Arabidopsis thaliana: one gene and its partners. The protein of the gene in region 2 purifies or fractionates together with the protein of the main gene of each other region. This does not show direct contact. Each region holds a gene or a part of one and is shown on either strand. Other genes may lie near its edges. The genes, in order: CSY3, PAB3, CSY1 and CSY2.

Evidence for each region.
Region 1: the proteins of PAB3 (region 2) and CSY3 fractionate together in Arabidopsis thaliana (co-fractionation; one large-scale study listed by BioGRID). This does not show direct contact.
Region 3: the proteins of PAB3 (region 2) and CSY1 fractionate together in Arabidopsis thaliana (co-fractionation; one large-scale study listed by BioGRID). This does not show direct contact.
Region 4: the proteins of PAB3 (region 2) and CSY2 fractionate together in Arabidopsis thaliana (co-fractionation; one large-scale study listed by BioGRID). This does not show direct contact.

Annotation. Positions count from the first base shown.
Region 1 is NC_003071.7:17,802,311-17,807,606, forward strand, and holds CSY3 (citrate synthase 3), read right to left. Parts: upstream 3,764-5,296; 5' UTR 3,682-3,763; coding exon 3,451-3,681; intron 3,362-3,450; coding exon 3,181-3,361; intron 3,079-3,180; coding exon 2,993-3,078; intron 2,786-2,992; coding exon 2,681-2,785; intron 2,565-2,680; coding exon 2,502-2,564; intron 2,382-2,501; coding exon 2,272-2,381; exon of another isoform or gene 2,121-2,271; coding exon 2,001-2,120; intron 1,930-2,000; coding exon 1,854-1,929; intron 1,760-1,853; coding exon 1,686-1,759; intron 1,597-1,685; coding exon 1,476-1,596; intron 1,361-1,475; coding exon 1,263-1,360; intron 1,182-1,262; coding exon 1,058-1,181; intron 963-1,057; coding exon 822-962; 3' UTR 531-821; downstream 1-530. Other genes in the region: AT2G42780 (transcription elongation factor B polypeptide), read left to right, coding at 1-81, 171-336. UniProt on the Arabidopsis thaliana protein: Peroxisomal citrate synthase required for the fatty acid respiration in seedlings, citrate being exported from peroxisomes into mitochondria during respiration of triacylglycerol (TAG).
Region 2 is NC_003070.9:8,053,637-8,059,587, reverse strand, and holds PAB3 (poly(A) binding protein 3), read right to left. Parts: upstream 4,264-5,951; 5' UTR 3,990-4,263; coding exon 3,686-3,989; intron 3,172-3,685; coding exon 2,390-3,171; intron 2,298-2,389; coding exon 2,220-2,297; intron 2,134-2,219; coding exon 2,044-2,133; intron 1,953-2,043; coding exon 1,656-1,952; intron 1,585-1,655; coding exon 1,369-1,584; intron 1,005-1,368; coding exon 789-1,004; 3' UTR 528-788; downstream 1-527. UniProt on the Arabidopsis thaliana protein: Binds the poly(A) tail of mRNA. Appears to be an important mediator of the multiple roles of the poly(A) tail in mRNA biogenesis, stability and translation. In the cytoplasm, affects both translation and mRNA decay.
Region 3 is NC_003074.8:21,720,229-21,725,397, forward strand, and holds CSY1 (citrate synthase 1), read right to left. Parts: upstream 3,563-5,169; 5' UTR 3,499-3,562; coding exon 3,262-3,498; intron 3,140-3,261; coding exon 2,959-3,139; intron 2,797-2,958; coding exon 2,711-2,796; intron 2,637-2,710; coding exon 2,532-2,636; intron 2,458-2,531; coding exon 2,395-2,457; intron 2,321-2,394; coding exon 2,211-2,320; intron 2,125-2,210; coding exon 2,005-2,124; intron 1,921-2,004; coding exon 1,771-1,920; intron 1,696-1,770; coding exon 1,575-1,695; intron 1,475-1,574; coding exon 1,377-1,474; intron 1,264-1,376; coding exon 1,152-1,263; intron 898-1,151; coding exon 838-897; 3' UTR 545-837; downstream 1-544. Other genes in the region: CSY2 (citrate synthase 2), read right to left, coding at 4,336-4,476, 4,551-4,674, 4,770-4,867, 4,978-5,098.
Region 4 is NC_003074.8:21,723,806-21,729,849, forward strand, and holds CSY2 (citrate synthase 2), read right to left. Parts: upstream 4,333-6,044; 5' UTR 3,654-4,332; coding exon 3,408-3,653; intron 3,277-3,407; coding exon 3,096-3,276; intron 2,951-3,095; coding exon 2,865-2,950; intron 2,577-2,864; coding exon 2,472-2,576; intron 2,381-2,471; coding exon 2,318-2,380; intron 2,229-2,317; coding exon 2,119-2,228; intron 1,961-2,118; coding exon 1,841-1,960; intron 1,763-1,840; coding exon 1,613-1,762; intron 1,522-1,612; coding exon 1,401-1,521; intron 1,291-1,400; coding exon 1,193-1,290; intron 1,098-1,192; coding exon 974-1,097; intron 900-973; coding exon 759-899; 3' UTR 501-758; downstream 1-500. Other genes in the region: AT3G58760 (Integrin-linked protein kinase family), read left to right, coding at 4,762-5,301, 5,491-5,565, 5,656-5,751, 5,846-5,931, 6,011-6,044. UniProt on the Arabidopsis thaliana protein: Peroxisomal citrate synthase required for the fatty acid respiration in seedlings, citrate being exported from peroxisomes into mitochondria during respiration of triacylglycerol (TAG).

The DNA of each region.
Region 1 (5,296 bases), on a different chromosome or scaffold from region 2:
GCCTTCAACTTCAAGAAGCATTCCTTATGGTGGACGAAATCTTACTGAAACTAAAAAGAACACGATTCAGAAGAGTTTCAGGTAACATGTCCTCAGTATCTATATATCTATATGGATCCACTTCTTTATCCCCCAAACTTGATCGGTTTGACGGATCATGTCTTGTATAGTATATCTGCTCCAAAGAGGACTGGCTTATCCGCTAATGCGCCTTCAACTTCAAGAAGCGTTCCTTCTGGTGGACAAAAGCTACCTCCAAGGAGGATCAACGGCCTTCCTGGGACTGCTCCTTCAACTTCAAAAAATGCAGCCACCAGACAAAAACATGTAATGTAACTTATATAGCTTTTTTACAGATCATTTTTTCTTCGAGTGTATCATTTACATGGCTACTTCAAGTTTCAAGAACTCCGAGTTTTGAAACTCTGGCTTGATGATATCCTAGTTTGTAACAATAGATCTTCAAAAGTTTTTACAATGATTTAATAAAGTGCTTTGTTTTCTACTTGTTGCTTTGGCCGAGATATTTCACAACAAACGTCTCTGCAGAAGCATTCGATATAGAAATTAGAGTAATAATCCATAACCATAAATCATTTTATACAATAAACACGTTCTGATAAGAAGACAAACAAGGCGGACAAACACCCTTAGAAGATGGATTGAAGCAAATATAGATCAAGTCTATATTGTGCCTACAAAATGAGAAATCTAAGTTTCGAGTATGATCAAGTATCTTAGCTTTAGGCTAGAGAAACCAATCTCTTTTATTCTTTGCGGTGTGGTTTGATGTATAGTATGGACCCTAAAAGGGCCTACGTCTAAACTGAAGATCCAGCCAAACGTCTTCTTGATGCATTTGAAGTCGCGACTTGACCCAATTTGTCTGACTCTTTCGAGTCATCCGTCACTATTCTCTCTCTCACTGGTGTGTAATGCCTCAGCCACACGCCTGTGTACACCTGCAACATTTAATATTCCAATGAACCATCCAAGTTTCAAATTGATCCAAAGAAAAATCTTTCTCTTATTATTCTTGGAAAGAGATTAACTATACCTGTTGTGGTCTCATGATCTTGGTGTCAGGATCATCCAGTGACTCTTTCCAATGTGACAAGTATCCAGCCATGCGAGGAATCGCGAATAAGACCGTGAAGAACTCCGGTGGAAATCCCATTGCCCTGTTGTAATGGTCCAAGTTTGCAGATTTAGATGAAGTTGAGAGGAAGTTATGGATACTGCACATGCATTCAAACTTTTACCTGTATATTAATCCAGAGTAGAAGTCAACATTTGGATACAGCTTTCTCTTAACAAAGTAATCGTCAGAGAGAGCTGCCTTCTCAAGTGCAACAGCAACCTGCAGACATCAGAATCAAACACATTGGCTTTAAGGAAACATGAAAAATTACACTAAATCGAAAAGGTGGGCATCAAGTTGTAGTATAAGCTTGAACTTCGTGGACATAGCGTACCTCAATTAGAGGATCCTTTCCAACAATGGAAAATACTTCATCAGCCAGGTTCTTGATGACTTTAGCTCGAGGGTCATAGTTTTTGTACACACGGTGTCCAAAACCAGACATCTTCCTCTTCCTAAGATGTCAAAGGGATGAGAATTTTAATGAAAAGACTTGTCACAAACCTCGGAAACGGAAGCATATAGTTTCAAGAATTGATTTTACCTGTTCTTCACACCCTCAATGAACTCTGGAATATTTTCAACAGTCCCAATCTCTGACAACATCTTAAGCACAGCCTAATGGAACCAAAGACATGAATTTCAAAGACCATGGAGCATGAAAATACATCAGAAGATGTAACATATGAAGACATGAGAATAAATAGCATACCTCGTTTGCACCACCATGAAGTGGACCATAAAGCGCTCCCACAGCTCCAGCAACAGCAGTGTAGACATCAACACCGCTACAAGAAGACATTTCCTAATCAATATATCTCCTATCAAGGTCACTAAGATTCCAACCAAAGATAAGTACCTAGAGGCAAGATGCCGAGCAGCAGCGGTGGAGCAGTTCATTTCATGCTCTGCATGCAGTATGAAGAGGATGTCCAACACCCGAGCCAGCCGAGGATTAGGTTTGTAGGATCTATTTCCCCTGTAAGAAGTGTGTTAATGGCACGCTACAAGTTATGTACACAGTAAAAAAATAACTAGGCTTCAAGTTCTCTGAAGCGTCAAGATCTAAAACTAAATCTAAAAGTTGAGTTTCTAACTAATTCAAGAAGAAAGAGATAGCAGAGACATACAGGGAATCAAGCATATAGAGGAAATTATCTGCATAAGGAAGGTTTCCTGAAGGAAGAACAGGAGGCCTTCCTGCCATCCTCAGATAAGCAGCTGCTGCAATTGTTGGTGCCTGCACAAATCGCAAACACGTTTAGTTGCATCAGATCTTCATGAAATTCAGAGTCCAAATATGTTTATGCGTGACACAATATAGGAAGAAGTAAGGTAACCACTGATAACAAAAAAATACCTTTCCAATAATGCGGATAATTTGTTTATCTCTAACTTGTTTTGAATCGTAAATATCCTGGCCCTGCACCCAATAGAGTATCAGTCAACATGTTTATACGGACAATTTCAAAAGAGCTAAAACTAGCGAGTGACAAGGCCTGACATGTTGTTAGAGAAGTAATATAAGGTTAAACCTACCCTAAGAGCAGGATTAGCATCAGGATGAAAGATGGAAAGCGCACTCATTGCACTCACAAGAACTCCCATTGGGTGTGCATCATGAGGCATAGACTGTATAATATCCTGCACAAAAGTTATCAAGTAAGTGGAGTTAGATATGAGAAATATATAGCTTTGAGTACAGCACACAATCCTCAGAACAACATGTATAGAACAGTCTTGACAAATTATTGTTCGACCAGACAAGAAAATAGGCTACTAGTAAAGAACAGGCTAACTCCATTTTACAAATCGAAATTGAAATCCATCAACCAAGGATTAGAGACTCACTAATACACCTTGTGGCACAGCTGAATGCTGAGAAACTGCAAACTCCCAATCAGATAGCTGACTTTCAGAGGGCAGATTCCCATACACTGCCAGAAAATATAGTAAAGGAGAAAACTTTTCATCAATGTCCAATTCGATACACATAACACTTGAAATTGTGTAGTAAGGTTAAAAGGTAAAACACTTACTGAGAAGATAAGCCACCTCCAGAAAAGTACTGTTCTCAGCCATTTCCTCAATTGGGTAGCCACGGTAACGAAGGATCCCTTCATCTCCATCGATGTAAGAAATCGAAGATCGAACAGGAGCCGTGTTCAAGTAACCTGGATCGTATAACTTAAGCCCCTTGTCTTCCTTCCCCGTCACTATCTGCAAGCCAAACAACACGCAACAAAGCAAATTCTCAGCTCAAAATCCCACAGTGATAGGAAAATGGTCATTTAGAAAAAGGGTTAAACCTTTTTGAAATCAACGGCTTTAACGGTACCATCATCTGAGACCGGAACTTTATAATTTTTTCCGGTGCGTTCGTCGACGATCGTCAGTGTTCCCTTCAAAGATCCAAGCGGTGCGACACTCGTATCCGCCGACGTGCACCATCGCTCGATCGCTGGAGAATCCTGTTTTCCTTCCGATAAATGACCTGAGAGAACAGCTAATCGAGCTCGAACTCTCTCTGATATCTCCATTCAACCAAAATCAAAATTCAAAGAAGGAGAGAAGAAGAAGAAAGGGAGCGAAGAAATTATTAGAAACCATTCTTACTCTTCGTTAATATAACACGTGTCTTATCCCCTGCGGTCAGGAGTATTGAACAGTATCCACGTGTATGCGATCTAACGGATATCTTGATATCCAACGGCGTAAGCCTTATTGACCCAACTTGGACTAACGGTGATGATCTTCTCCATCTCTAAGCTGTCAGAATTATGTGGGACCCACTTATCAGTATTATCTAGTTAGTCAATTGCTTTCCTCGATTTGCTAAATATCAATTCGATTGCTACGCAATGCTGAATGGGCCGAATTGTCTTAATATGGGCTTCTGTATATTCATCTTTAGGCCCAACAGTATACCACTTTTTATTTGGGCCTTTTTTGTTGATACGGCTCGCTTTACCATCGGAACCAACCCAACATTCATTTTTCGAACTATGACTGAAATCTTATTAAAAAAATGAATGTAAAGCTAAATATGGATGTTGCGTTCAAAATAAAACTCATGAGTTTATGGATGTTCTTCATAAATTATAGTTATCATTAATCAAAAGATGGAAAATACAAACGGTTATTTACTCTTTAATGTTAGTGTACGAGGCTATTAATCTTATAAGTTGTATTTATGTATTATATTATGGAGAATGAATAGGTCTAATTACGTTTTAAAAAAAAAGCATGGAGGAAATGAGAGTGAAAGGTATAATAAATGACATGTTAAAAGCGACGGGTCGTATATTTTGATTCGTACCTAAAAATAGAATTCTAAGTTTACCCCACGTGAGGCTCTGAATCTGAGAGTGATAGATTTTTCTTTCCCTCCTTCCGTTTTCAACACATGATGACATGAACAAGGAACTGTTCCTTTTTTTTTTCTTTAAACATTATCTGCAACGGTGATCACTCACTCAATGATATCTTTCATTTATAACTTCACACGTCTATAAATTAAATTTGTTCATAGGATCTACAATAACACAATTAACATCACTTGTGTTTTTAAGTTATTCAAGCAGAGGCATAGTAATTGATAAAAATAGACAACAAGAAAGCATTTGAAACAAAATTACTGTTGTAAACAAAGCTTTTTCACGGTAATGGAATTCCGAAATAAAAATATATAAAAAAGAAAGTGACAGAGGAAATGTGTGAGAGAGGCAAAGGAAATGCAATATTTGCAGGAAGAAAAAAAGCATGAGAAAAAAGTAGGTGTGGATTTAGACACATGACTGACAAATTATATTTTTCTAGTTTCTCCTCTATATGGTGGTTTCTGCGTTTATCATGTTTAAATATATTTAAACCTTTCATTAGTCACATCACATCCCAAAAATGTGTACGATAATAAAAAGATTGTTTATATACCAAAATTAATTGGTTTACTCAATCATCTTTTTAATTTTGGTCATTTGATACGATCAATCATAGGGTGTCCTAACGTTAAGTTCGATGACGCTGCTACCTCTTTTGAGCGTACCATTCAGGGTCCTACTCGGCTACTCCTACATAATGAATTTAGCAAATAGCAGTTTAAAAACAAATTACGTTAGTTGATTAAGATAAATAAATTAGCTTAACACAAATTTG
Region 2 (5,951 bases):
GAAGTCAACAAATGATGAGGCAAAGGGTCGGCTCTTGTAGCTCCAATGAGAAGGGTCAGACACATTTTGGACGGTGACATGTATCAACCCCACTCACTCTCTTCTTTATTCACTCATTTTTTTTGTTAGTCTTCTTGTGTGCTAATGTATGGTCAATTTGAAATTAGCACTGATGTTGACTTTTTAAAATATTTTCATATGAACGAGCTGGTTCATGTACCATGCCAACATATGTTTTTCAAATAAATTAATCGAATTAGATTCTTGTTGTGACTGAGAGTATTTTCGATCAACATAAACCATTCAAATTAACGTCATATCAAACACTATTATGAAATGAGTGGTACAATCATTGAATCGCTTGCTTCCAACCCCTCAAAAAGAAAAAGTCTGTGTGCATATAATTGATATCAACTACAAGTTGAAATACAAACCACAAATTATGAGTAGACACATTCGAATAAATTCATAATAGAAGGCTGCTACCATAATAGAAGGATTGTCCCTTGTTGCTGACCATGAATACCGAACAACTTAAATTTCAAGTAGAGATGGATTATTTGGGGATTCGGAAGAAGAAGTCTACTCAGATTATTAAGAAATCATCATTGTCCAAAGAAAAAGAAAAACACCATAAACTAAGTTAAAGACACAAAAACCATAAACTAAGTAAACAAAAAAAAACTGCTAAAATAGTAAAGGAAGACTAAAACCCAAAAAAGAAAAGAAAAGGAGTCGATATCAAAACTAAAAGAAGAAAACAGAGTTGAGCAAACGCATTGCAAATTTCAGTCGGTGGTAGAGAAACCAAGATCATGATCAGTTGGATCAACAGATAGCCTGAGAACATCCAAAGCCTCGGATACTTTAGACTTGAGTGCCTCTGGTGACTCCATCAGGTGCAAGATCTCAGCTTGATCCATCTCCAACAACATTCCTGTGACTTTAGCCACGTGAAGTGGTTCGTGCCTTTCCACAAGTGGGTACAGTTGTTCTCCAAGCATCTGTTCCCAACCAATTTTTTAAAAATAAAAATCAGTAAACATATAAATATATAGATATGCCAATCTCTATCAACTATATATTTATGTGACTTTAACTTTTATTTATTTGTTATAAGACCATAATTCTTTCAAACATTTGATGTTAAGAAACAAAATTCACCAAAACATTTTTCAGTTATTCAGGAAATATTTTGTAAGATAAAATGCAAATGTGACTGACCTCTCTTTGCGTTTGGTTTTGCATCAACAATTGAAAACATATGTTTAGAGTTAAGGGTTTATTATTCAAAAGTTATACACCAAATGCAAAAGAAAACGCAAAACAAAGAAATGTTTAGCTGAGATGGAAGGAAAAGAGGCAAACCCGAGTGCGATCAGCTGGACTAGCAGAAGCTAAGGAAGAAGTGAGCTTAGAGATTGGAAGGAGAGGAGCTTTCTGGTGAGAGATCGAAGAAGCATCTATTGGCAAAGGAATGATAGGAGGTAAGATTCCTTGAGGAACACTCGAATCCATTCCGTTCCTCCCGTTACTCGCACCGTTCATATATCTCATTCCCGGGGACGGGTTACGGTGCATAAGCTGTCAATATTCAATCCAACTCAGTTTCATGATTGTTGAAAACTATAAACAGACTCAGTTTAGTAACATACTTGTTGTTGTTGGATGTGTTGTTGCACGTTAGTAGCACCACGCCTGAATCCCATACGAGGACCGGTCTGAGGTTGTCTTTGAAGCGGATAAGGCACGATGAAGTTGCCCGGGCCAGAACCTGGACGCATCCCGGGCATGAACTGAGGCTGGAATCCATATCCAATGGGCTGGGACGGGACCATACTTGCTCCGTTTTGGCCTACGTACATGTGTTGAGGTGGACCGGGCATTGGTCCACCTGGCGGGTGATGGAACCCTGACATTGGCCCTGGTGCTCTAATCTGTGAAAACAACGCCTGAAAAAATTGCAAACTTATGTACTTAGTCACACATATAGCTTTAACAAACCCATTTCTTTTAAATATGTTAAAAGAGTTTTTAAAAAACCTGTAAGTGTGCTCGTCTATCTTCTTTGCGCTGCGCAAGAGCTATGTATAGAGGTTTTCTTCCGATCATCTTCCCATTCATTTCACTCAGCTGCATTGTCTCATATGTAACAATCTCTCAGATATCAAAAGAGACGAACAATAAAAGAAGAATATATTATAGTTTTAGTAACTCACGGCTCTTAAAGCTTCTTCAGGATTGGAATAAGCAACAAAACCAAATCCTCTGCTCATTCCTTGTGGATTAAGCATAACCTACATTAGTTAAAGGATTGTGTCAAAGACAACGTAACATCAACAACATATATATTTATGAATATATGTATGAGTTTTTAATTAATTATTACCTTGGAGGATGTCACATTTCCATACTCAGAGAACATCTCCTTGAGTTTCTCATCATCAACACTATCATCAAGATTCTTCAAATACAGGTTCGCTCCTTGAGATTTCTCAAACCGGTTTATCCTCTCTTGCTCAAACTTCCTTCTTAGCTCTTCCTCTCTCTCAGACTTCTTTTGCGCCCTCCCAACGTACAACACATCATCCCCTAAGCTAATTCCATTCATCTTCTCAACCGCCGAAGCCGCTGCTTCAGTGCACTCAAAATTCACAAACCCGAAACACCTCGAGTTTCCGCTCTGGTCCCTCATTACAACTGCGCTCGATATCACTCCAAATTTACCAAACGTTTTTCGTAGCTCGTCCTCACCAATCTCCTTGGGGAGATTCTTGACGTACACGTTAGTGAAACGCGGTGTAGGGGTGTTTTCATCACGAGCACGCTCTTGACGTCTGATGAAGTGTCCCACAAAAACTTGCTTGTCGTTCATTAACATTCCGTTTAGCTTGTCAATTGCGGCTTGAGCCGATTCCTCCTTCTCGAACTGGACAAATCCATACCCCTTGGACCGGCCAGTCACGTCCATTGCAACTTTGCATGAGAGGATGGTTCCAAAACTTGAAAACGTCTCGAACAAGGCCTTGTTGTCGATTGAAGCGTCAAGGTTTTTGATGAAAATGTTTCCTTTGCCGCTCAATCGCGTGCTTGGGTCACGGTTCGAAAGCATGATCCGAATGGGCCTATCAAAGAGGGGAGTGTAGTTCAAGGCCTCCATTGCACGGTAAGCTGCAAACATAAATCAACATATAAACATAGGCAAATAAGATCTCAATTCATTATAGAAAACCAGCATCTATGATATTTATAAATGCACAAATACCTATAGTTTCTACAATTAATGAGATTGAAAGAACAATTTCAAACAAATTTCACGTATTAAATTGAACTAATTAAGAAAAATCATAATATAAGAGACTGATGCATCAACTACTAAAATAAATGTTGTAGCTTTGATATTCAAACGAAACATATCAATGTAGCAGAATCATGGTATAGTAGAGATGAACTACAATATAGAATATTGATTATATGTTAATTTCTAGACAAAAAAAAAGATGATTCGCACAGGAACATGATACTGATCAAAATTAATTACCATGTCTAATAAAAAATTGAGATTGAAAAAAATCAAATCAAAACACTTTTTCTTATTGTAATGCAATTCATGATAATATATATATTTTGTTTTGCAAGACATGAACCCTAACTTGCAATTGAAGCGATATAGAATTGTATTTACCATCGTTAGGGTTACTGAAATTGATGTAGGCATATCCCAAAGATCGACGATTCTGATCGCGGCAAACTCTTACCGAGACGACATTAGCAACATGTTTGAACAAATCAAATAGATGTGCTTCAGTAACTTTCGGGTCCAGATCACCGGCATAGAGCGACGAGTTCGGGTGGGTTTGATCGGCTACCACGACCGGGGATGGAAGAGGTATTGAAACCGGAACCTGAACCGAAGTCTGCGCCGTCGGACTGGGAACTTGATCAACCATTGTCGCCGGTGCAACACCTGTGGCAACCGCCGCCGCCATGATTATGAGTTTACTTTTTACAAGACGATTTGTTATTTTCGTCTCGTGAAAGGAAACAAAATCACTGATTCTAAAAAAACAAAGATTCGATGATTTGTTTCTGTAAGGGTTTTAAGTGAGAAAGAGATTTTCTGTAAACAACATGACTCGAGGATTTGTTTCTTCACAATTTTTGATTTATTTATTTTTTAGGAATTTTATTCTTATTTAGATTTTTTTTTTTCCTTTTTTAGTTTCCTCCGATTATCAAGAAGAGTAAAGAGGGATAAAATTGAATTAGTGTGATGAGTGTGGATGCATATTTATACATAACTAGCTAAGCCTATAAAACCGAGCAATTAACAATTTAGTATAAATAAAATGTCACTTGATTTTACTATTAATAGCTAATTGAATATTTCATGAATCTTTGATAATAAGAATTGGTCGCAGTTTTAAATTATGTTTGCCTTTATTTCTTTTTTTATTACATGAGGTTTTATTTTAGTTACACTTATCGAGCATGTGCTAATTTTGTTTTCTATATCGAAAGCAACATTAAATTTATTTATTCATAAAAAAATGCATGCTTCTAAGGCTTATAAGCACACAAATCTAATTAATTTCTAATAATATAACTAATGAGGTCTTAAGAGCTAAAATTTAATAAATTGATTTAACATTTACTTTGGATAAAAATTGTGATTTTTTATTTATGTTTTTGATTAGAGTAAAGACGAACAACTAATTTTTCAGAGCAAAATTTGCGGCTATTGATTTGGTCATTACTAAGATATCAATCTTATTACTATAAATAGACACATGAAACTATTTTTAGATTCTTTTGACCAGATATTAGATTATGAATTTATGATAAATAAATTGGTAATTTTTTAGTTAGTTGAAATTAAATCAGTTGTATTGTTGATGATGTAAATAGGTTTAGTAATGCTACGAAGTAACTTATTAAAAATCATGGATAATGGAATCTTTTATTTATTTCAATAGACTACAAACCCCTTTAAATATCATACACATATATTGATACACATATATAGATTCAAGTTTTTTATTAGGGATAAAATTGAATTAGTGTGAAGAGTGTGGATTAATATTTATACTTAACTAGCTAAGCCTATAAATCCGAACAATTAACAATTTAGTATAGGGAAAGTGTCACTTGATTTTTACTATTAATAGCTAATTGGTGTTTCATAAATCTTTGATAATAAGAATTGGTCGCAGTTTTGAATTATGTTTGCCTTTATCGCTTCTGTTTTTTACATAAGATTTTATTTTAGTTACACATATCAAGAATTTGCTAATTTCATTTTCTATACCGAAATCAATACTAAATTTATTTATTCATAAAAAATGCATGCTTCTAAGGCTTTTAGGCACACAAATCTAATTATTTTCTAATAGTGTAACCACTGAAGTCTTAGGAGGTAAAATTTAATAAATTTATTTAACATTTACTTAGAATAGAAATTGTAATTGTTTTTTTTTTTTTATGTTTTTGATTGGAGTAAAAGATGAACAGCTAATTTTTGGGAGCATAACTTGCGGCTATTGATTTGGTCATGACTAAGATATCAATTTTATTACTGTAAACAGAAACATGAAACTATTTTTATGAAACTATTTTTAGATTCTTTTGACCAGAATTTGGATTATGATAAATGGATTGATGATTTTTAGTTAATTTACCCATGCCAATTATACTATAGTATCCTCAACTATGCCGGTCAACACTGGTCTTCAACGGAGTAAATTTATTAGTGTACCGGAATTGCATGTCTGTGGTGTTAACTACATGACGTCGTATAGTTCAGATATGTGGTCATACAATACATCTACTTCGTATAGCTAGGGATACACTAATATGCTTGACATGTGTGATCATGCATTCTCCGATATTTTGTGTAGCTAGTTATTTTTCTTCTACTATAAATAGAGATATTAAACTATTTTGGATTCTTT
Region 3 (5,169 bases), on a different chromosome or scaffold from region 2:
GTTTCCAAATGGTTGAGGAGAAAATAATCTCTCATTCAACACTATATTGTATGACATTTTTTTAAAAGGATATGATTTGGTGGTTAACTAATTATTCCGAATCAATGTGTGATATATAAAAAATCTTAGAACTAAAGCAATGTGTTATATTAACTAAAGAAGAATAAGAAGATCTTCTTTTAGAACTTTCCTCACAAAAGGCACAATATCTATCAAAAGTTATGTCTTAATTTCCTATACCAACTTAATTATTAGATGGAATTGATTATAGAACCACTATACTTAAGATATGTTTTAAATCATAAATTTTAAAATAACAGACAAACAAATGAAAAACAAATTCAATAGTATGTAGATTATTGAGTGTTTTAACTATAAGGAGAAAGAAAACAACACACATTGTTGAGAAGACCCTTTTGGTTTTCGTCATTATTGCTGCATATATGTTCAATTACCAATCTCATCTTGATTTGTTGTCTACTATCTTCTTACTGTTTCGGTTATATTTAATTTAGATTTGAACTGTTTTTATCACTTTATGATTATTGTTCAACATCATATTCTTAAAAACATGCTATAATACACAAATATTTTTATTTTATTTTGACAACTTATACATACATAGACACACACACATGTATTACTAACTCGAGGTCGGATGGGGTTTACCCAAACTATATTTTATATAAGCATATATATTCTTTATATATATTTGTATATTCGCTTGGCTTTCCGAGTCAAATTTCATATTAGTAGTATAGGAACGAGACTTGACCCAGCTAACGCCTTCTTGATGCATTCGAAATGGAAACTTGACCCAACTGATCCAAATCCGAATCACAGCTTGGTTCTTTCTCTCACTGTCTCGTAATGCCTTATCCCCGCTCCAGTATAGACCTGTGCCAAAAAAAACTTTTGATCTATTCAAAAACTGCATATATCCATTAAAAATTGTATTACTCATGAGCCAAAAAAAGAAGAAGGTTCAAGTCATTAATATATCCAAGAGTGTATGTATCTATGCATAATGTATAATCTCATGAGCAAAAAAGAAAACTTAATTACTCATTGATCTATCAAAAAGTGTCTTTATTAGCCATGAGCCAATGTTATCTAAACAAAGTCACTTATATATTAAAGGTGTATTTTACCTGTTGGGGTCTCATGATCTTTGTGTCAGGATCATCTAAAGACTCACGCCAGTGTGACAAGTATCCAGCGATACGTGATACTGCGGTGAATGATGATGGGATTCCCATTGCCCTGTGTTTTGGCCCATTTCAGTTACCAACAAAAAAGATTCAAATAAAGAAAGAACTCAATGGTTACAACAACTCATTAGTCAGAATTTGTTAGATAACTAATCAATGTCTTACCTATTGATTAATCCAGAGTAGAAATCAACATTTGGGTACAGCTTTCTCTTAACAAAATATTCATCAGAAAGTGCCGCCTTCTCTAGAGCATCTCCTACCTGAAAACATTATTTATACACCAAATATTTTCTTAAACCAAATTCATCATACATATGAAGGATTCAACAAGGAAACGTGAGCAACAAGAATACAGAGTACCTCAACCAGAGGATCCCTTCCAAGAATGGAGAACACTTCATCCGCCAGTTTCTTAACGACTTTTCCTCTGGGATCGTAGTTTTTGTAAATGCGGTGTCCAAAACCCGACAACCTCCTCTTCCTGGAATAAAAAGAGTTAACATTAATGGAATATTGACCATCACATTCTAGGTATACTCTCTAAGAATTGAGTTACTTATTCTTCACGCTTTCAATGAACTCTGGAATATTTTCAACAGTCCCAATCTCTGATAACATGTTAATCGTAGCCTCAACTGCACCACCATGAAGGGGACCATAAATGGCTCCAACACCTCCCGAAACAGCAGTATACACATCACCACCACTACATAAACAGAGGATTTATGTGCTGATTAAAAAGTATCTCATAGCAGACTCAAATGAATCTCTAACCAATGATAAGTAGTACCTAGAGGAAAGGTGCCTAGCAGCAGCAGTAGAGCAGTTCATTTCATGTTCAGCTTGCAGTATGAAGAGGATGTCCAGCACTCGAGCCAAACGAGGATTAGGCTTGTAAGACCTATCTCCCCTGTAATCAATGGAAGATGAGACTAAACAAGTGCACAGTTTTATGGCTACCATCTCCAAATCAAACAAAGAGGGACAATAACGTACATTGATTCCACCATATAGAGGAAATTCTCTGAATAAGAAAGGTTGCTCAAAGGTTGAACAGGAGGCTTGCCTGCCTTCCTCAAATAAGCAGCTGCTGCAATTGTTGGGGCCTGCAGACACGTTATATTATAATTCATAGTCCGGTTATACATTGAGGCACCAAATCACACAGACAGAACAATACCTGTCCAAGAACACGAACAATCTGTTTATCACGAACTTGTTTTGACTTGTAAACACCTAGGCCCTGCACCAAATGGGGATTTCCATGTCGGCGTGGAAATTTTCAGAAGAAAGCAGGATTATAAAAACGTAACTTACCATAAGAGACGGATTTGCATCAGGATAAAAGATGGAAAGTGCACTCATTGCAGTGACAAGAGCTCCTACTGGATGTACATCATTAGGCATGGACTGTATCATATCCTGTGAAAACATTCAGATAAATCATCTCACCTCGAAGATCTAGAGAAAGTTAGGAAAGAGTAGAAGAAACTCACCAATACTCCTTGTGGCACAGCTGAATTCTGAGAAATCGCAAACTCCCAATCAGCTAGCTGTCTTTGAGAAGGCAGATTCCCATAAACTGCATGCAAAAACAAAAAAAGCAGTAGTAAACTAGAGCACTAAGGGAGACAAAATTTTAAAGAAATACCCACACAAAAGCAAGACTATGAGCTATACAAGATGATCAAGATGATCATAATTAAGCAACAACAATGAGCTATACAAGATGATCAAGACTTACTTAGGAGATAAGTAACCTCTGTATAAGTACTTTTCTCAGCCAACTCCTCAACTGGGTATCCCCGATAACGTAGGATTCCCTCATCTCCATCGATGTAAGAAATCGAAGATCGAACAGGAGCCGTGTTTAAGTAACCAGGATCGTATAAGTTAAGCCCCTTGTCATCCTTCCCTGTCGTTATCTTCACACCAAACATGAAAATCCATTTATACACACTCACACAATATACAAAAAACAATCTATTCGTAGTACTAATGGCCACAATGAAGAAATAACTTCAGCATAAAAACTCATTATATATACCTTCTTGAGATCAACGGTTTTAACGGTACCATGCTCTGAGACTGGGACCTGATATTCATTCCCCGTACGCTCATCGACGATCTTCAAATTTCCTTTAAGCGATCCATGCGGTGCAGCGGTTATGTGAGCCGATGTGCACCATGGTTCGATCGCTGGCAACACCTGATTCGGCTCAGATACTGTCAAGTGCGCATTGAGAACGGCTAATCGAGCTCTAGCTCTCTCCGAAATCTCCATTTGTCACCTCAAAAAGATCACAATTCAAGAAAGGGAAGCGAATAAGAAACCAAGTGGCTGTTGTAGTTCAAAGTGATATATAGGCATGCATGGTTTTATAGTGGGGAAATTTGATAATTTCATTACGTAACACTTTTGTCTTAATACTTTTGTGGGTATGATTGGCGTGAATCTACAGTGTCTTCTTTGTCTTCAATCAGAGTTTTGTGGCTTTTAACCAATTTTAAGTATGTGTCTCTGCGACAGTTATGTATTGTTTTGGTTGCTTCTTACTTCTTTCTGTTAATCAGTGTCAGGTACTCCAGGGTTTGTTATTTAACGTCACTTTTCTTTTATATTTGTTCACACTTCTCACAATTGTTCTCATTTGAAATGGAAATATTATTGGCAATAATGCAAAATGATAGGAAACTTTCAGGCAAATTATAAATACCGTACAAAAAAATATGATATGATGTTCAATGAGTGGTTAGCTTATTGTTATCACTTGGAATCTGCATAACATATTCACCCTAAAAATAACATTCAGTTAATCCTAAATGATATGATTTGGTGGTTGACATTTTCCAAACCAATGTGTTAGACATGTCTTCAGAAATTAACATTAACAGGAATAAAAGCGCAATTTATCAAAAGTACATGTCGTTCCCTATAACAAGATTATTATTATTAAATCATAACATTTTAAAATAACAGACAAACAATAAGAATAGGGTTGTATTATTAAGTGTTTAAGAATAAGAGAAAGAAAACAACACATGTTGTTGAGAAGACTCTCTTGTTTTCCCAGAGGTATCCCAATGTTTTCTTCTTTATTGGTGAGTATTAGGATTGAGACTAAAGGGCAGATGATCCAGCTAAACGCCTTCTTGATGCATTCGAAATGGAAACTTGACCAAACTTATCCTTATCCGAATCACTTGATAACGTTCGTTCTCTCACTGGCTCGTAATGCCTCATCCACACTCCAGTATAGGCCTATATGCAGCCACACAATTCAGTTAGCTCAAACTATAAACCTTTTGATCTATCAAACAAGTTATGTATTTTACCTGTTGGGGTCTCATGATCCTAGTGTCAGGATCATCTAACGACTCACGCCAGTGTGACAAGTATCCAGCCATACGCGGGACTGCGAACAGGACTGTGAAGAATTCTGGTGGGAATCCCATTGCCCTGTGTTTTTCCCCCATTTCAATTACCAACACAAGGTTCAGGTAAAGAACTTAATGGTTACAGGGTCTATGTCAGATGAATCAGCAATGTCTTACCTATAGATTAATCCAGAGTAGAAATCAACATTTGGGTACAGCTTTCTCTTAACAAAATATTCATCAGACAGTGCCGCCTTCTCTAGAGCAACTGCTACCTGAAAACATCATCCGTCAAAACAAAATTTAACCCACAGTCATGTTATATAAGAATTTTTTTGACAACCAAATACTAGGAGAGATACGTGAGCACAAGGATCTACAGTACCTCGATGAGAGGATCCCTACCAACAATGGAGAACACTTCATCTGCCAGTTTTTTTATAACTTTTGCTCGGGGGTCATAGTTTTTGTAAACACGATGTCCAAAACCTGACATCTTCCTCTTTCTGAGAACATAGAAAAGGGATATAACATTACCGGCATGACTCACCACAATTCAGAGTACTTGGTGCTTGTA
Region 4 (6,044 bases), on a different chromosome or scaffold from region 2:
ATAGGCATGCATGGTTTTATAGTGGGGAAATTTGATAATTTCATTACGTAACACTTTTGTCTTAATACTTTTGTGGGTATGATTGGCGTGAATCTACAGTGTCTTCTTTGTCTTCAATCAGAGTTTTGTGGCTTTTAACCAATTTTAAGTATGTGTCTCTGCGACAGTTATGTATTGTTTTGGTTGCTTCTTACTTCTTTCTGTTAATCAGTGTCAGGTACTCCAGGGTTTGTTATTTAACGTCACTTTTCTTTTATATTTGTTCACACTTCTCACAATTGTTCTCATTTGAAATGGAAATATTATTGGCAATAATGCAAAATGATAGGAAACTTTCAGGCAAATTATAAATACCGTACAAAAAAATATGATATGATGTTCAATGAGTGGTTAGCTTATTGTTATCACTTGGAATCTGCATAACATATTCACCCTAAAAATAACATTCAGTTAATCCTAAATGATATGATTTGGTGGTTGACATTTTCCAAACCAATGTGTTAGACATGTCTTCAGAAATTAACATTAACAGGAATAAAAGCGCAATTTATCAAAAGTACATGTCGTTCCCTATAACAAGATTATTATTATTAAATCATAACATTTTAAAATAACAGACAAACAATAAGAATAGGGTTGTATTATTAAGTGTTTAAGAATAAGAGAAAGAAAACAACACATGTTGTTGAGAAGACTCTCTTGTTTTCCCAGAGGTATCCCAATGTTTTCTTCTTTATTGGTGAGTATTAGGATTGAGACTAAAGGGCAGATGATCCAGCTAAACGCCTTCTTGATGCATTCGAAATGGAAACTTGACCAAACTTATCCTTATCCGAATCACTTGATAACGTTCGTTCTCTCACTGGCTCGTAATGCCTCATCCACACTCCAGTATAGGCCTATATGCAGCCACACAATTCAGTTAGCTCAAACTATAAACCTTTTGATCTATCAAACAAGTTATGTATTTTACCTGTTGGGGTCTCATGATCCTAGTGTCAGGATCATCTAACGACTCACGCCAGTGTGACAAGTATCCAGCCATACGCGGGACTGCGAACAGGACTGTGAAGAATTCTGGTGGGAATCCCATTGCCCTGTGTTTTTCCCCCATTTCAATTACCAACACAAGGTTCAGGTAAAGAACTTAATGGTTACAGGGTCTATGTCAGATGAATCAGCAATGTCTTACCTATAGATTAATCCAGAGTAGAAATCAACATTTGGGTACAGCTTTCTCTTAACAAAATATTCATCAGACAGTGCCGCCTTCTCTAGAGCAACTGCTACCTGAAAACATCATCCGTCAAAACAAAATTTAACCCACAGTCATGTTATATAAGAATTTTTTTGACAACCAAATACTAGGAGAGATACGTGAGCACAAGGATCTACAGTACCTCGATGAGAGGATCCCTACCAACAATGGAGAACACTTCATCTGCCAGTTTTTTTATAACTTTTGCTCGGGGGTCATAGTTTTTGTAAACACGATGTCCAAAACCTGACATCTTCCTCTTTCTGAGAACATAGAAAAGGGATATAACATTACCGGCATGACTCACCACAATTCAGAGTACTTGGTGCTTGTAGTTATTAAGCATTGAGTTACCTGTTCTTCACGCCTTCAATGAAATCTGGAATATTTTCAGCAGTCCCAATCTCTGCTAACATCTTAAGCACGGCCTCGTTCGCGCCACCATGAAGTGGACCATAAAGCGCCCCAACAGCTCCAGCACATGCGGTGTACACATCAACACCACTGCAGAAACACAATACTGATTTAAACACTCAAAGAAGTCTAAATGAATATCTCTAATCAGTGATAACTGATAAGTACCTAGAGGCAAGATGCCGAGCAGCAGCAGTAGAGCAGTTCATTTCATGTTCAGCATGCAGTATGAAGAGGATGTCCAGCACTCGAGCCAAACGAGGATTAGGCTTGTAAGACCTATTGCCCCTGTAATCAATTGAAGATTAAAGAATGTATCCTGTGTTACAGACACGTTTGAAGCTTGAAACAGATTTAAACTGACTAAAGAAACACAGTTTTTCTGACTACCCTTTTAAAATGCAAGTGTTAAATCAAATAAAGACAGAAGAAAGAGGGGAAAGTACATTGAATCCAGCATATAGAGGAAATTCTCTGAATAAGAAAGGTTGGCCGAAGGAAGAACAGGAGGCCTGCCTGCCGTCCTCAAATAAGCAGCTGCTGCAATTGTTGGTGCCTGCAAACACGTTGTAAACCCTTTTTCTAGTCCCGCAACTTATACACAGATACGTTAAGGAAACAAATCATCAACAGATAGAACAATACCTTTCCGAGAATGCGAACAATCTGTTTATCACGAACTTGTTTTGACTTGTAAATGTCTTGGCCCTGCACCCAATGAAAGAAAATCGAGTTGGCATAGCCATTTTCAGAAAAAGGCATCTTGACAGTACGAAAAGAACAGGATTTCAAAACTTACACTAAGAGCAGGATTTGCATCAGGGTGAAAGATAGAAAGTGCACTCATGGCACTCACAAGAACTCCCATTGGGTGTGCATCATGAGGCATGGACTGTATGATATCCTGCAAAAACATTCAGAAATCGTCTCAGATCAAAAATCCATAGAAAATTCTTTTACTAAGCATATACACATAACTATATTCACAACGGCGAGTAAGACATAAGGTACTAATACTAGAAAGAGATCCAGTATCCTTAATAGACATGGTTTACAAGCAAGACAAACAACTTGTACACTTGACAAGAAATCATTTTCAAAATCCCTCTTTGGTTTGGATTTGCATTCTGATACAAAGTTTGGAATTTGCACTAGTATGAAAATCCAAATAACGAAAGAGTAGAAATTTCACCAATACTCCTTGTGGCACAGCTGAATGCTGAGAAACAGTGAACTCCCAATCAGCTAGCTGACTTTGAGAAGGCAGATTTCCATACACTGGAGACAAAAAAAGGGGAATTTTAACACGACACTAAGAGAGACACAATTTTCAAGACATTTTCTTTTCCACAAGTAGACGCCACAAAAGTAAAATAAGCAACAACAACAACAAGAATAAGCAACGAGATTGATAAAGACTTACTGAGGAGATAAGCAACCTCAATAAAAGTACTGCTCTCAGCCAACTCTTCAATTGGGTATCCCCGATAACGTAAGATTCCTTCATCTCCGTCGATGTAACAAATCGAAGATCGAACCGGAGCCGTGTTCAAGTAACCAGGATCGTACAACTTCAGCCCCTTATCATCCTTCCCCGTCGTTATCTGCACACCAAACATGCAAATCCATCAAATTCCTTATCATATTCAGGGAAAATTAGGTGAGACGAATCAAAATTCAGATAAAACTAACTCGATTCCACAATTCTGTTCAGGATTACAAATCCGTTACATACCTTCTTGAGATCAACGGCTTTAACGGTACCATGCTCTGAGACAGGGACCTGATATTTCTTCCCCGTACGCTCATCGACGATCGTCAAGTTTCCTTTGAGTGATCCATGAGGTGCAGCGGTAATGTGAGCCGATGTACACCATGGCGCGATCGCCGGCAACACCTGTTCCAATCCGACGGTATCAGACACCGCCAAATGCGCGGTGAGAACGGCTAATCTAGCTTTCACTCTCTGCGAAATCTCCATTTCTTCCTCTCAAAAAATTTTAAAAAAAATATCTGAATTCAATTTCAAAGGAAGGAAGCGAAGAAGAAGAAGAAGAAACAATCTTGCGGTAAGTGACTTGGCTTTTGTATCCTGCATTTGCTAATTTTGGTAGTAGCTGATATTTTTATTCTCTGCGGGTAAGTGTATTGAAAATCGGATCCATTGTTTATCCAAAGCTCGACGGTGATAAGATTATTCAGCTTAGATCAACGGATAGAATTGTTCGTCAAAAACTAATATGGAAAGTCTAAAGAGGCTTATCTGTCAAGTTTATCAAAGGATTAAGACTTTCGTTTCTGAAATCCACCCGGGCAAGGGCAGTGAAGACTACGCGCTCAATGAGAATGACAGGTGGAAGAACACGAGCGAGTGTCTTTCAGACGCTATGTAGATCGAGTAGAAGTCGATTGGCGTCCTCGGATTGCTAAATAACTATCTGGTTTTCGATAATGGGCCAACTCATTGGTCTCACATTGAGAAATTTAATTTCCCTAAGTGTATTGATCGGCCCATTAGCTCTTTACGCCTGGGCTGATGACAATAGTAATAAGAACAAGGGAAATGGTCCAATATCTTTGCAGTTAAAATTTATGAACATATGGAAATTTTATATTTGTAGCACAAAGATTCACCAGTAAGAGGCTGGTAATACACTGCATTGGGTCACAACGGGCCGGTCCATTAAACCCAATTAACTCTTATGTATGAGAAGGAACTTAAAACCCCATTCAGTTTTTGATGGACTTGTGAACGCTGCTACTAAACCAAGGTCACTTCTCAGTTCTCACAACACATATGTTATGTTTGCAAATTAAATGCAGTTTTATAATTTTTAGTATTTAACTGACTATCCCAAATTATTTTCAAAATATCTTTGAAATTTAAAAAGTGATTCAATTATGAAACCTCCACTCACACTTTTGTACCATCCTTTGCTTTTGCACTAATCAAATTTATTTGTTTGTTCAGTTAAATTGTTCAAAAAAGGAGAAAGTTATGTCCAACAAAAAAGAGAGAAAAAAATGCAATTAGCCTTTTAATAAAAAAAGGAGTAGTAATTACAAAAAAAAATGAAGTACTGTAGATTATGATGAGTAGGGAGGAGGAAAACGAGTATGATACTTCACCCGCATTAAGAGGCAAACCCTTAAAGCCTGCTGATTGGTTGGGACTTTTTTTTCTACTTTTCTTTTTCTTTTCTGTTGCTGCCGTTACAGTTCCATTTACAGCTCATATTGCTTGCGGCAGAAAATTCTCACCAAGTCCTCTGTTGAACATGACGATTAAGCCTAAATCGCCGGCGAGATTCAAGCTAGGTAGGCAGTCTTCGCTTGCGCCGGAATCAAGAACCCCGATTGATACGTTAACGGAAGATGAGGACGACGACTTGGCTGCGGCGGCTACAGCTGGGATCGGGGATCCGACGATTCGTTTAATGTATTTAGCCAACGAAGGTGATATCGATGGCATCAATAAGATGCTTGATTCGGGTACTAATGTTGATTACCGTGACATCGATGCCCGTACTGCTCTTCACGTCGCCGCTTGTCAAGGACGAACCGATGTCGTTGAGCTGCTGCTTAGCCGTGGTGCTAAGGTTGATACGAAGGACCGATGGGGTAGTACGGTATGAATTCGAACTTTCTCTGGGCTGAATTTTGTTTGCTTTGCCTGACTTGACTTCTCGTAGACTCTTTAGTTCGTTTTGTGTTCGACGAATTGCCGCACAAATCATATGTTTTACTGGAGCACTTAGATTTAGCAAACTCGGTTGCAATAACAGTGATGGTTAACAATTTGTGATTGATCTTACCAGCCTCTTGCAGATGCAGTGTATTACAAAAATCATGATGTGATTAAACTTTTGGAGAAACATGGTGCTAAGCCTACGGTATGTGTTTATCCCTCATAGTTGCATTGATGGATGTTTTAGTTTCTGAATGTTTGGATTGATTTCTTTAATAATCGTTTCTGATTTTAGATTGCTCCTATGCATGTCCTAACTGATAAAGAAGTTCCAGAGTACGAGATTCATCCTACAGAGCTTGATTTTTCCAACTCTGTCAAAATTTCAAAGGTAAGTAGTTCCCTTGCCCAAATTTATTTGTTGCTGTTTTCACTTGCTTTTATTTGCTGTTCACAGTTGTAATTACTGTCTGTCTGCTTTACAGGGTACCTTTAACAAGGCTTCATGGCGTGGAATTGACGTGGCTGTTAAAACCTTTGGAGAGGAAATGTTCACTGATGAAGACAAAGTGTGAGTCTACATCCATTGATTTCTTTGTATTATTGTATTAATCATGCTCTAAAGGTTTTCATATCCTTCTGGTATCCAGGAATGCATTTAGGGACGAACTTGCACTGCTTCAA